Linked DNA regions of Coturnix japonica. The protein of the gene in region 1 binds, or shares a complex with, the protein of each later gene. Links are inferred from orthologs where the notes say so. Each region holds a gene or a part of one and is shown in the gene's direction. Other genes may lie near its edges.

The links. The genes of interacting proteins can lie anywhere in the genome.
Region 2: NME5 (region 1) and ROPN1L share a complex: the UniProt entries of both Homo sapiens proteins name them as parts of the axonemal radial spoke complex. The link is inferred for Coturnix japonica from reciprocal best matches to the Homo sapiens genes NME5 and ROPN1L.
Region 3: NME5 (region 1) and DYDC1 share a complex: the UniProt entries of both Homo sapiens proteins name them as parts of the axonemal radial spoke complex. The link is inferred for Coturnix japonica from reciprocal best matches to the Homo sapiens genes NME5 and DYDC1.

The regions. Positions count from the first base shown.
Region 1 is NC_029528.1:3,795,528-3,799,471, reverse strand, and holds the start of NME5 (nucleoside diphosphate kinase homolog 5), read left to right. Parts: upstream 1-1,144; 5' UTR 1,145-2,619; coding exon 2,620-2,748; intron 2,749-3,915; coding exon 3,916-3,944. UniProt on the Homo sapiens protein: Functions as part of axonemal radial spoke complexes that play an important part in the motility of sperm and cilia. Does not seem to have nucleoside diphosphate kinase (NDPK) activity.
Region 2 is NC_029517.1:52,308,345-52,312,293, forward strand, and holds the start of ROPN1L (ropporin-1-like protein), read left to right. Parts: upstream 1-1,149; 5' UTR 1,150-1,280; intron 1,281-1,286; exon of another isoform or gene 1,287-1,466; intron 1,467-1,553; 5' UTR 1,554-1,580; coding exon 1,581-1,711; intron 1,712-2,756; coding exon 2,757-2,880; intron 2,881-3,045; coding exon 3,046-3,207; intron 3,208-3,949. UniProt on the Homo sapiens protein: Functions as part of axonemal radial spoke complexes that play an important part in the motility of sperm and cilia. Important for male fertility.
Region 3 is NC_029521.1:3,511,334-3,515,301, forward strand, and holds the start of DYDC1 (DPY30 domain-containing protein 1), read left to right. Parts: upstream 1-1,168; 5' UTR 1,169-1,250; exon of another isoform or gene 1,251-1,298; intron 1,299-1,465; exon of another isoform or gene 1,466-1,468; 5' UTR 1,469-1,474; coding exon 1,475-1,621; intron 1,622-1,733; coding exon 1,734-1,856; intron 1,857-2,397; coding exon 2,398-2,469; intron 2,470-3,282; coding exon 3,283-3,573; 3' UTR 3,574-3,968. Other genes in the region: EXOSC3 (exosome complex component RRP40), read right to left, coding at 627-776, 850-1,125. UniProt on the Homo sapiens protein: Functions as part of axonemal radial spoke complexes that play an important part in the motility of sperm and cilia. Plays a crucial role during acrosome biogenesis.

The DNA.
Region 1 (3,944 bases):
AGTGGGCATGAGGATCAGGAAATAAAATAGAAGAAGGTCAGCAGAGCATGCTGTAGATAGGAAGTTTGTTATTACTTAGAGCCTTGTAGAAATAAGATCTTTAAAGAAAGTAGTGAGGTAGCAAATACATGAAAGCAGAAATGAAGGCTTGAATTGTGTTAGTCAGAAGCAATATAAAGTTAGCTCGGATTACAGGCGTGTAGGCAAGCTGCAGCAGAGTCGTTAGCTGTAAGAAATGGAGCAGGGAACGGGCTCACAGGAGCGGAAGTTTGCTTGGTCACAGGATTTCCGTCAAAGACACTTTGCACTGCAAAAGCAAGCACGGCTGCAGCACGTTCTGCGTGTGGGTATCCCAGCCTTCATCGTAGGAGACAGAAGCAAATAAAAATGATGTCAGTGGTGGACAGAAGTTGTTTGTGTGGCAAATGAATAGCCAGTCAATGATTACTACTATTTTTTTGGAGTTCAAAGTTTGAAAACAGTATCTTTTCCTTAAGAACATCATTTCTTTGCTACTAGAATGCATCTGCAGCCACAATCTTGTTATTATAGTGTTATTATATTCCATGCCAGCCCAAAATAAGACAACCAAGGCTTGTTAAACTGCTTAACAGGTCAGATACAGCAGCAGAGCTGTGCCCGGAGAAGTATTCGGGACTTAAAATGGTTTGTTGCATTGTAATTAAAATTTCAGGTTTTGTTTGTTTCTTTTCTTAGCTCTTAATAACATCCCTGGGCTACAGAAGTTAGAGAGGACGCTTCAAACCAGCCTTTTAGTCATTAAAGTAGCTTTAAAAGCGCTACAAAGATACCATGCGTACAATAACAGTATCAACACGGGGTTAAAAGGTCGGGTCTATGGAATTTAAGGATTTAGAAGAAACCTTTGAGATACTCTTAGCGTGTAAAGCTACTTCTTTGTTAGGGAACACACGATGTTATTTTCTCTTAATGCGCGGGGTCCCTTTAAATGTGCAACTCTGCATTATTAAACGGTCGTGGGAAGTGTAGCAGGAGGAAACCCCGGGTAATTGGCTGCAGCTTCAGATGCAGCAGCTCGCTCATTGGAGAGCAGAGGATTCTCTGAGTTGCTAAAATTAGATGATCTCCACCCTCCAGAAATGCTTCTGGAAACAGCAAGGAGGAGAAATTGTGACACAGAAGGATGGGGAGTGCACGGGACACTGCTCATGGGGAGGCTGCAGCAGACAAGGATGCACGGACAGATATTGATGCATTTTTTTTTTCCTATCTTTTTTAACTGAGAGCAAAATGCACCCAGCTAAAGGAACTGCGAGAGATTAAAGTCAGCAGTATTCTGTGAGGATATTAAATTCAACGTTTTTTAAGTAATAATCGGAAATATTCACTGGGGCTGAGGGAGGCTTTTGAGCTGCTAAGCCTGGGGTCAGCCTGTCAGCCTTGTAGGCGTTTGGTTTGCAAAGAGAATTAACCCTGAACTAAAAGGAAAAATAGATGAACTCCCAGATCTTTCTAGGAATTTATTTCTCACAAAACACGTCTTTCCCTTATCTGTGAGCAGTTGCTGCATTTACAGTATCTCCGACTGCTGGTTGAGCTCTCTCTGTTTAAGAAGCCGACATGAGTGCTTGTCTCTTGGTCCATCTCACCCCAAGGGCTCAAATGGAACATTAATTCCAGCTGGATGTGACAAACAGATGTCACCCGGGATCCCATCACTGCTGGCAAACACACAGCAGTGGAAGAGGCCTGAATGTGAGGAGTCCATGGGCTGGTGCTGGCGTTATCGCAGCCACCGGGCTGTGCTGAGCCGATAGCAGCTGGCAGGCCTCAGCGGGGCGGCGGGCTGCTTGTTTCTGTGTTAAAACCGGGTAACACCGGGGACAAAATGCCTTTCAATCCAAAGTGCTGAGAAACTGTGTTCTAGAGTTGGGAATTGAGGTCAGCGCCCGCTCTGTTGTGAGCTGCGGGTCCGACGGGAAATAAACAGGAGGTGCCGTGCGTGCTGCCGCCACACGGCGAGATTTAAAGAACCTGCAGGGGGCTTTGGCAATGAAAAGTTTGTTTCTGTTCCAAAACACCGGTTCTACAGCGTAACCTCTGTTCATGAGCGTCAGCTGTGAGATATTGCTTTCAGCGTGGAGTAAAACCGACAGAAAGCTGTGTCACAGGATTAACAACGCATCAGATCCCCAAAACAAGCTATTTTACTCCTTTCCTTACGCTCTTATCACACCTAGAGCTCAGGAAAGAGGCAAATGAGATCCGGAAAGCGCGGTTGCCGAGGGTGCGGCCTCCCCCCGCTCAGGCAGCGCCGCTCCCGGCCGCCATTTCTGCTCCACCCCCGCACACGCACGCAGCCGCCCGCTGCCAGGGCACGGCCGCCATCTTGTGGCCAATGGCAGCTGCCCGCATTGCCCTGCCGGCACCTGGCAACGGGGCGGGCACGGAGGAGCCGTTGGTGACCGGGAGCTTTCCGTGTGTGTTTGCGTGTCTTCAGAGACTCACGGGCACGGAGGCCAAAACCCAGGGAGAACCGTGTCTCAGGAAACCATCCCACGTTACTTACACTATTCGGAGATAAACGTTGTCATCAACTGCTGTCGTTGTAGGGCTAAGAAGTTCTAATGCAGAAAGATGGAGAGGCTCATGCCAGAACCTCAGATTTTTGTGGAAAAAACACTGGCTCTCATCAAACCTGATGTTGTAGATAAGGAGGAAGAGATAGAGGATCTCATCCTCAGATCCGGATTCCTGATTGTTCAGGTAAAAAGCTGCGTTCCTGAGATAACAGCTGCAGTTGGTGGGTCACGTCAATGGTCTTCTTAACTTTCAGCAGTCAGTTCAATAATTAAAAGCTTCTGTTGCCCAAAAATCGGTTTATATTTTTCACGTCATCAACCACAACTCCCAGATTCCTCGAGGATACATTTCGTTGGTGTGTGACATGGAAGAGAACCCACCAGACTTCGCTGACAGAAGAAACCCCATACTTCCTTCATGAACTGGGTTCATTAACAAATGAACTCAAAAACAAAAAGCCTTCTTCCATGTCCCCCCGTGGGGTTGGGTTGGTCGCTGGGTGCCGCTGTCGTCCTCATCGTGTTTGCTTTCTTCTCTTCCTCCTCCTCCCCCTCCTAGTAGTGTGGAGGCAGCACCTTCGGCACCGAACTTTGAGGGCACTGGCTGAGCAGCAACCAGGCTTCTAGATACAAGTATTACATGTATATGCTTCCCTAAAACTGTCATCTTTCGTAAATGCCTTGAAAAGTTTGAAAAGAGTTTGAAAAGAACTTGTTCTTTTTTAATTTCTTCCTCTACATTTCTGTTTGTTTTAAGTATAGGAAATTCATCAGAAGATTAGAGTTGTGTGTGTGCGTGTGTGTGTTTTGTTTTCTTTCTTAATGAGAAGAGCTTTACAGTCATTAACTTTTGACATTGAGGCTGATAGGAATCTGAATGCTCAGCACTCTGTATCACATTAGAGCAGGCTCAAAGAAAGGAGTTTTTAATAAGTTAATTTCTCTCCAGGCTGCCCTGTGCCCTCTGCTGGATAACCTGTTACACCTGGCCTAATTCTGGCTACCTGCAGGCAGGATAGCTATAGTGAAAATCCTAAAGCACCGAATGAAAGAAAGAACAATTGTATAATTAATGCTGCGGGTATTAATTATAACACAGAAACCTCTTGGTTGGTTGCTTCTTTGTTTTGTTTTCTTTTCATTGTTTGTTGTTTCTGTTGTTGTTGTTGCTTTGTATCTCAAGGGGGACCAAATCTGAGAGAATCAGACTAAGCTGGGAAGTTACCCTGTACCTCTTCAGCTTGCACTTGAAAATGTGACTGCCTCCAAAGAACAGTGTGGTACCTGAGGTAGCAAACCAGCTCTATTTAGTAAACTTTTTTCTTTCTCTTCTCTTTTACGCTTTTCTTAGAAACGGAAGCTCCAGCTGAGCCCAGAGCA
Region 2 (3,949 bases), on another chromosome or scaffold:
AGCGTGCAGTGGTTTTGCATTACTCTTTGAGTGGGAGAAGCTGTGTGTGACTTCATTACAGTCTCTGTTGATCTTAAGTAGTGAAGGGGGAGGGATTGGAGTTGTCTACCAGCTTAGCTGCACTGGCTCTGTGGGTACTGAGCGTCTGCTGGTGTTAGTTCTACAGGCCTTTATCCACGAGCTGTCAGATGGCTTTGTAGCTATCTTTTGCCTACTTAACTGCAGCATGGCTTTGACTGTTTTTACACAGAATATTTTTATATTGATTAAAAATAGTTAAAACTTCACATGTTTTCTCTGACTACCCCTTCTCCACTGGGTAAAGCCTAAGTAATTTGTTTATGTTCTGAGGGCCCTCTGGTGCCTGTAACTATTTTGCCAGCTGCTTTCTCAGTAGGATGCAAACTCCAGCCCCGATTGCAGCACTTTGCATCATTTCTCAGTAGGGCGCATTCCTCCCTTGCTCTCCCTTCCCTATGCTTGAGCAAAGGTCCTCATAAAAGTGTTCACAGCAGCCCTGTTATTCTTCAGAGAATTCAGTGAAAAGCCCTTTCCTGCACAACACAGATGGCAGTGGTTTGTTGATCTTGCTGCCTAGCAGGCTGATCAACACGGCTTTTTCTTCTACTTCACTGTCTGTCCATTTGTTTGTACCTCTACTGTAAGTTTCCTGTGACCAAGCCCGTGTTCTTGTTAGGTTTGCCTTATGTTGGGGGTTGGACTCGATGATCTCTAAGGTCCCTTCCAACCCGCACGAGACTGTGAGACTGTGATACTGTGATGTATAGGTGCTGTATGGTCTGAGCAATGGCTGGGATTCCCAGAAGAAATGATGAAATAATAAAGACATAAAACAGCGAACTGAATTCTTATAGTAAAGTTTAAATAAAGAACAGAAACTGTCTTCAAAAACAGACAAGGAGATGAGCTTTTACAAGGTAAGTGAGAGCTCTTTTCCTCTGATACCTCATGCCTGACTGGTGGCCAGTGCCAAAGGGGCATGGTTTAGGTTAGATTTTAGAAGGGAGTTTTTCACACAGAGGATGGTGACGCACTGGAACAGGATGCCCAAGGGGGCTGTGGGTGCCCCATCCCTGCAGGCATTCAAGGCCAGGCTGGATGTGGCTTTCGGCCTCCTCACAAACGAGGCTAAACACGGGTTAAACACGGGCTCTGCACCCGCGGTTGAGCGAGGCGGGCCGCAAACCGCCGTCCCATCCGCCCGCCCCCTCAGCTGTCACGGTGCGCTCGTTGCCGGGGCAGCGGCGGCGCAAACAAAGGTGAGGCGGGGCTGAGCGGCTTCCTCGAGCTAGGGGTGGTGCGGCGGCTGCATTAATCTTGAGGAAGATCAAGACTTAGCAAAAGGCAGCTGCTGACAGCAGAAGTAGTCTGGGCTTAGAGCTGTGGTTGGGCTCCATCTGCAGGCTTTTGCTTGGTATCAAGATTAAGGTACTCTGGTAGGCTCAGTAAGAAAGGGGGCAGTTTGGGTGTAAACATTGTGCGGGCAGTTTTTTGTTGTCATCCTACATCTGTTTTATTGTTAATCCCTTCAGGTCCACGTAACTGAACTTGAGAAGACCATGCCTCTTCCAGACACCCTGTTCTGTGCTCAGCAGATCCAAATCCCCCCTGAGCTACCAGACATTATCAAACAGTTCACCAAAGCTGCTATTAGGACTCAGCCTCATGATGTTTTGCAGTGGTCAGCTGCGTAAGTATGGCATCCTCATAACCATGTAGCACTGTCAGCACAGAACCACAAAGACCCAATGCTTCTGTTGACTGTATAGAGCAGTGTTGCATTCTTCAGTGTATAACACAACCTGTTGGCCTTTTAATAGTAGTATAGTACTTGGTTTAGCCTTTTAGTTTAAAGATTTCATATCGAGTTTTTCAGTACAAAGAAGACAGGGATCTCTTGGAAGGAGTCCAGCGGAGGGCCGCTAAGATGGTGAAGGGCCTGGAGCATCTCCCCTATGAGGAGAGACTTAGGGAACTGGGTCTGTTTAGCCTTGAGAAAAGAAGGCTGAGAGGGGATTTGATCCAGGTTTATAAATACCTGAGGTGTGGGAGCCATAGTGGTGAGTCTGGTCTCTTTTCAGTAGTGCGTGGGGACAGGACTAGGGGTAATGGGATGAAACTACAGCATAGGAAGTTGCGCACAAATGTGCACAAGAACTTCTTTACGGTGAGGGTGATGGAGCACTGGAACAGGCTGCCCAGGGAGGTGGTGGAGTCTCCTTCTCTGGAGATATTCAAGACCCGCCTGGATGCCTACCTGTGTGACGTGGTGTAGGGAACCTGCTTTGGCAGGGGGGTTGGACTCAATGATCTCTGGAGGTCCCTTCCAACCCCTACAATGCTGTGATTCTGTGAATTCTCTTTCTACACTGTCCTTGAATTTTATTTTGGAGTGTGTAGACCTGTAGACAAAATGGTTATGTGAGCATTGCAGTATATTGCCAGTTGGGCTTCACAGGTAGCATGTGGGAGGAACGCTAAATAAATCAGCTAAATAAATTGGAAAGGTACTCATCAATCTAATGGGAAAAGACTGTGCTTCAGTTGTGCGAGCATACTCTTGGTGTTAATAAATTTATTTCTGCCTTAATCAAAATAAGTTAAACTACTCATAAATTATGACAGTATGATAAAAAGGAGTATGTGATGTCTAGAAACTGTCTTCCACTGAAAAGAAAGGCATAGTGTTTAATCATCCTAGGTACTGGAGTGCCTTGCTGTTCCCATTCACTCAGGTACTTTACAGCACTGTCCAAAGGCGAGCCCCTTCCAGTGAAGGAGAGACTTGAAACACCTTCAGCAAAACAGAAGATGGATGCTGGTTTGACCCCGGGACTCCTTAAAGTCTTGCACAAACAGGTACAACCAGACATTTATCAAATGTGTGTGTTTGTCTTAGACAGAAAACATGCCAGATGATTAGTAGATGACTGTCAAAAATTTGATGCGTTTTGGGAAGGGTTGTTTTTCTTAGTTTCATTCTTTTTCAGAGTTCTTATTGCGGCACTGTAATTGTATTTACAGCTTTCCGCTAAAGGCACTGTAAGTGTTGCAGAGCTGAAGGAAAAATGGAAAGACTTGTGCCTGCCAGAGGAGCAGCTGGAAGCTATCCTGGAGTTGGACACCTTTGATGAAGAGGTGGAGTGGATGAAGATTCTGGCACTCGGGTGCAGCGTGCTTGGTGAGGTATGTCCACAGAATCATAGAACTGTTGTGAGTTGGAAGGAACCTTTGAAGTTCATTTACTCCAACTTCCTTGTAATGAACAGGAGCACCTACAGCTAGATTAGGTGCTCCTAGCCTCCTCCGGCCTAACATTCACAGCAGGAACCTTCCTGGCTGGCCACTAATGATAATGTATGATGATTACAGGTTGTTTTGGAAGGAGAGCTTAAGCAGTAAGGGCTTATCCTCATGCTTACTGGGATGTGGCAGTAGGACAGTAGGCATGTCCACTGGCAGCTCAACCAAGGCAATAGAGGAACAATGCTTATGGCATCAGTGTAATAGACAAAAGAGAAGAGCTGGAGGGAGAAATTAAAACATCAGTTTCTAATTGTGCAGCCAATTACATTTTCACAGAAGCAGTTAATGTTACTAAATCTACATTTAATTCTTCTAATGTCAGTAATAAAGTCTCAGCAGAGCGCTGCAAATGAATTGTTATGAAATGCTCGCACTAAGCTGATGTTCTTGTGAAGTATGAAATTAGAAGACTGCAGAAGGGGTACTAAGAAGAAAACAAATGCCCAGTAGTGTTTTGAGAATGTTGTGTTATTGAAAAGCAGTGGAGTCTCCTTCTCTGGAGATATTCAAGACCCAACTGGACACCTGCCTGTGCGATGTGGTGTAGGGAGCCTGCTTTGGCAGAGGGGTTGGACTCGATGGTCTCTAGAGGTCCCTTCCAACCCCTACAATTCTGTGATTC
Region 3 (3,968 bases), on another chromosome or scaffold:
GCCGGAGCGCCTCTTGTGTGAAGAAAAGTTGAGAGAGTTAGGCTTGTTGAGCCTGGAAAAGGCTCTGGATAGACCCCATCGAAGCCTTCCAGTGCTTATAGGGAGTGACTTTTTATATAGCCTAGTAGTGACAGGACAAGGGGGAATGGCTTTGAATTAACAGAGGGGAGATAAAGGTTACATGTTAGGAAACAATTCTTTACTCAGAAGGCGCACCAGAAGCCATACCAGTCTATTCCATTTAAAATCACAGCCCATTTTACACCATGCTGACAGTGTTTCTGGTGAACGCACATATCACAAAACAACTTGTAAATGCTACAAAGCAAACCCTCCTCTACCAGCACCAGCGTTCAGAGGATGCTTTAAAGCCTCAGGGTGGCCCCTTGGGACCCACGTTACTGCACGAGTAGCACCTGCCACTGTTAACCGATGGGAAAGGTGTAAGGTCAGAAGTGAAGAAGCACAAAAAGCTCCGGAGAAAACAGAAAAAACTCACGGCCTCATCGGGACACCCCGTACAGGCCATGACAAAAGCTCTGTGAAAAAAGTCACGTTCCTCGTTTATATGGTCCGAGTGGTAAAAACACCGTTTACAAAGGCAAGCTCCCGGCGGGCAGCGTTACCTGCACGTTGGGCCTGTTCCTCTTGGTCGCGCCCTCGAAGGCCAGGTATGACAGCGAGGCCTGCTCGCTACCACCGACGTCCAGCCGGAACACGTCCCCCACCTTGCCCGTCACGATGCCGATAACGTGGTCTCCCTTCACCGGCACGTACTACAAGCGGGTACAAGCGATCAGCGGGCTCGTCCCGCACATCACCGCCCCCCGCCGCCCGCTGCCGCCGTACCCGCTTCTGCTGCGAGTCCACCCAGTAGGCGCCGCCCGCCGCCGCTCCGCCGCCCGCCTGCCGGTGCCGCAGCAGCCCGCACTTGGTGACCAGCAGCCCGCCCGCACAGCGCCGCAGCCCCGGCCCGCACAGCAGCCTCCCCCGCGGGGCCGCGCTGGTGCCCAGCGGCAGCTTGTCGAGGTCGGGCTCTCCGTGCTCGGGCAGCAGCAGCACATCGCCGGGCAGCACCACTTGTCCCACACGGGTCTCCGCCGGCACGCCGCCCCCACCCGCCATCGCGTGCGGCCCTTCCGGCGGAAGCAGACGCAAAATGGCGGCGGCGATGGAAGGGCCGAGAGCGCAACGACAGCGACACCGCCCGGCCGCCTGACGCAGGATCCAGCCGGGAGCGCGGTTGCCCGGTAACGCGGTTGGACGCGCTGTGCGATCGGGCCGGTAGGAGCGAAGCGGTAGGGAACGGGGGACAGCACCGCTACCACCTTCTCATATTAATTGCCTGATGAAATGAGCTTTGATAAAACCACCAACATCACACTGGGGATGTGATGCAGTCAACACTTCCTCTAACTGCTGTCTGAATTCCGATATCGGTGACTAATATCTGTCGGTTTGTCAGTAGGTGAGAATGGAGTCTCAATACCTGAGGAGATGTCTGGGAAGCTGCTTGAAAAAGGGTCTGGCGGAGGTTGTGGAGCGTCGGCCCGCTGACCCAATAGAGTACCTGGCACACTGGATCTACAACTACAAGAAAACACTAGAAGAAGAAAAGAAGGTGGGTCTACCTCGGGCAAAGCATTTCATGTCAATCTAACTGATGCTGTATAATCTCTCTTTGTGTTTTGTTTCCTTTTTTTTTCATTGATTTCTTGTTACCTCTGAAATAGAGAACGTTGGAAAGGGCCAAACTGGAAAAAGAACGGCAGGCAGCCCTGGAAGAACTTGAAATGTTAAGAAAAATGAAGGAAGAAGAGCTACTGATACAACAGAAACTTGAAGAACAACGGCAGGTTAATAGTTGTTCATAATTATAGTAGCGTGTGATGCTGGGTCAACTTGTAGCTCTCACTACAATAGTAGTCATTATCAACATAGAATCATAAGAGAATCAGAATGTTGGAAAGTACCTACAATTGTATTCTGATCTTGAAAGGGAAAAGATAACAAAAAGTGCTTAAACATTGCGTTTTGAAAATATCATTATTTCGAAAGGAATTAGAAAGGACAGCTGAGCAGCTGGGGAGAAAAACTTACCTGCTACATGACAAGATGTTACCAAAAATGAAGAGACTAAGCTAAAGAGAAACTAACTAAAGATATGTTAGAAAATTAGATTAGGATAAGTAGACTGTCTTCTGCAGTTAACTATCTTAGCTATTTTTTCCTCCCATAGAATCTATATGGATTAGTCTGTCTATAATAGATGCTGTGCAAAGCTTCAAAGAGCCTAATCCAAAGTATAGGAGATATAAATATTAACTACTAAAGAGCACGAGGAACTGAGTATCAAAAGCATATACGCTATCTTCAGCTGTCTTCTCTTTACAATAGGAACAAGAACGTGAGAAGATGGAACAGCAGAATAAAGAAGAGAACATGCAGGAGCAGCAGAAAGATCCAGAGGTTTAAGCCAAAGCTTAGTCAAGATAAAGAAATATTGTTAATCATCTCTCTTATTCAGATCCAGTCCCTAAATACAGAACACAAGGCAGAAGCCTTGAACACAACAAAACAGAAAGCTAACATTAGGGAAGAACGTTTAATGCTTCTTTCCAGCTTAGGTTTTAGACTTGAATTCTCATCTGTTCTATTGGGTTTCTTTAGCTTTTATTCAGAACAGAGCATAAAGTTATTATAAAATGTAGCTTAAGTTCAGATTTTTTTTTAATTAATAAAATACTAGAACTTGAACGTGTCTAACATGAATGCTTAGATAGTTACATTTTACTGCCTGGCAACGTGAAGCCCATTTGCCACACCTGGAAAAGGAACCAACACTTGGAGGTGGGATGCCTCTTGATTTTTTGGTCTTCCATATAAATACATAGTCATATGATGCTGTTTTGGTAAAACAGATTGATCATTGACACTTAGACGTGAAACATTTCCTAACTTTACTTGGAGCAGAATAGAGATATTTTTAGAGCACTGTGTTGAGATATTGATAGCACATAGCTAGAAGAATGACTGTAAATGTAACAGAAGTATGCACGTTTATAAACTGAAGCAAAAAAGAACCCTGAAACCTTTGTAAAAACAGTCTTTACATGCACAAAGACCCCATTTGCACACTAACACATTTGTGTAGCAAGCATCTGAAGTATTGTCTTTACATTCATACTTAAACTACATTTTCAAAGCATGTTCAAAGTATCCACTGTAGACGATTGCTCATGACACGGAATACTTCTAATTGAAAATGAATTTCCACTACAGGAAGATGAGAAGACAATAGCTGAACTTACAGATAGAGCAGGAGCACCTAATTTGCCCACAGTTGAGGAAGTAGATGAGAGTGGAGTGTCTGAGGTAAGTGTTTGGAAAGAAAAAGGTTACATGGAATTAATGCTCAAACATTTTCTTGCTGACAAATGGAAGACTAAGACTGTTCTAGTTAACCCTATACCGGTTCTTTACTACAATCTGAAGGGATATTATTTGGGCCACAGTCTTCATGCTGTCCTTAGGCTGTACATTCTGAAAGGCTGCTTATGTGGTGCTGAGTGAATAAAGTGCCAAAGATTTAAAATGCCCCTTTATAGTCATGTGTGTTATGAATGGATGTATTAATATTCTCAGACAAGAAGCAGCCTTCCTTCGCCTTTTGAGCAGGTGTCAAACAGGACACAGACTCAATCACAAACACTGTCTTGCTTCTGAATGAAATGACTTACATTATTCTGATTGGTCTGAAGTACATTGTTCATGCAGCAGAACGCAGAGATATCTGAACAATTATTTAATGTAAAAGACCAGGTACCAAGCGCACAGTGCTCAGTGCAGCAAAGACCTGCTAAGAATCAGGTTATCCAAACCCTGTGCCAGCATGACAGTACTTATTCCAAAACTACAACTATCAATCTAAATTGTGATATGCAGCCATCTTCTACACCCCTATTTTT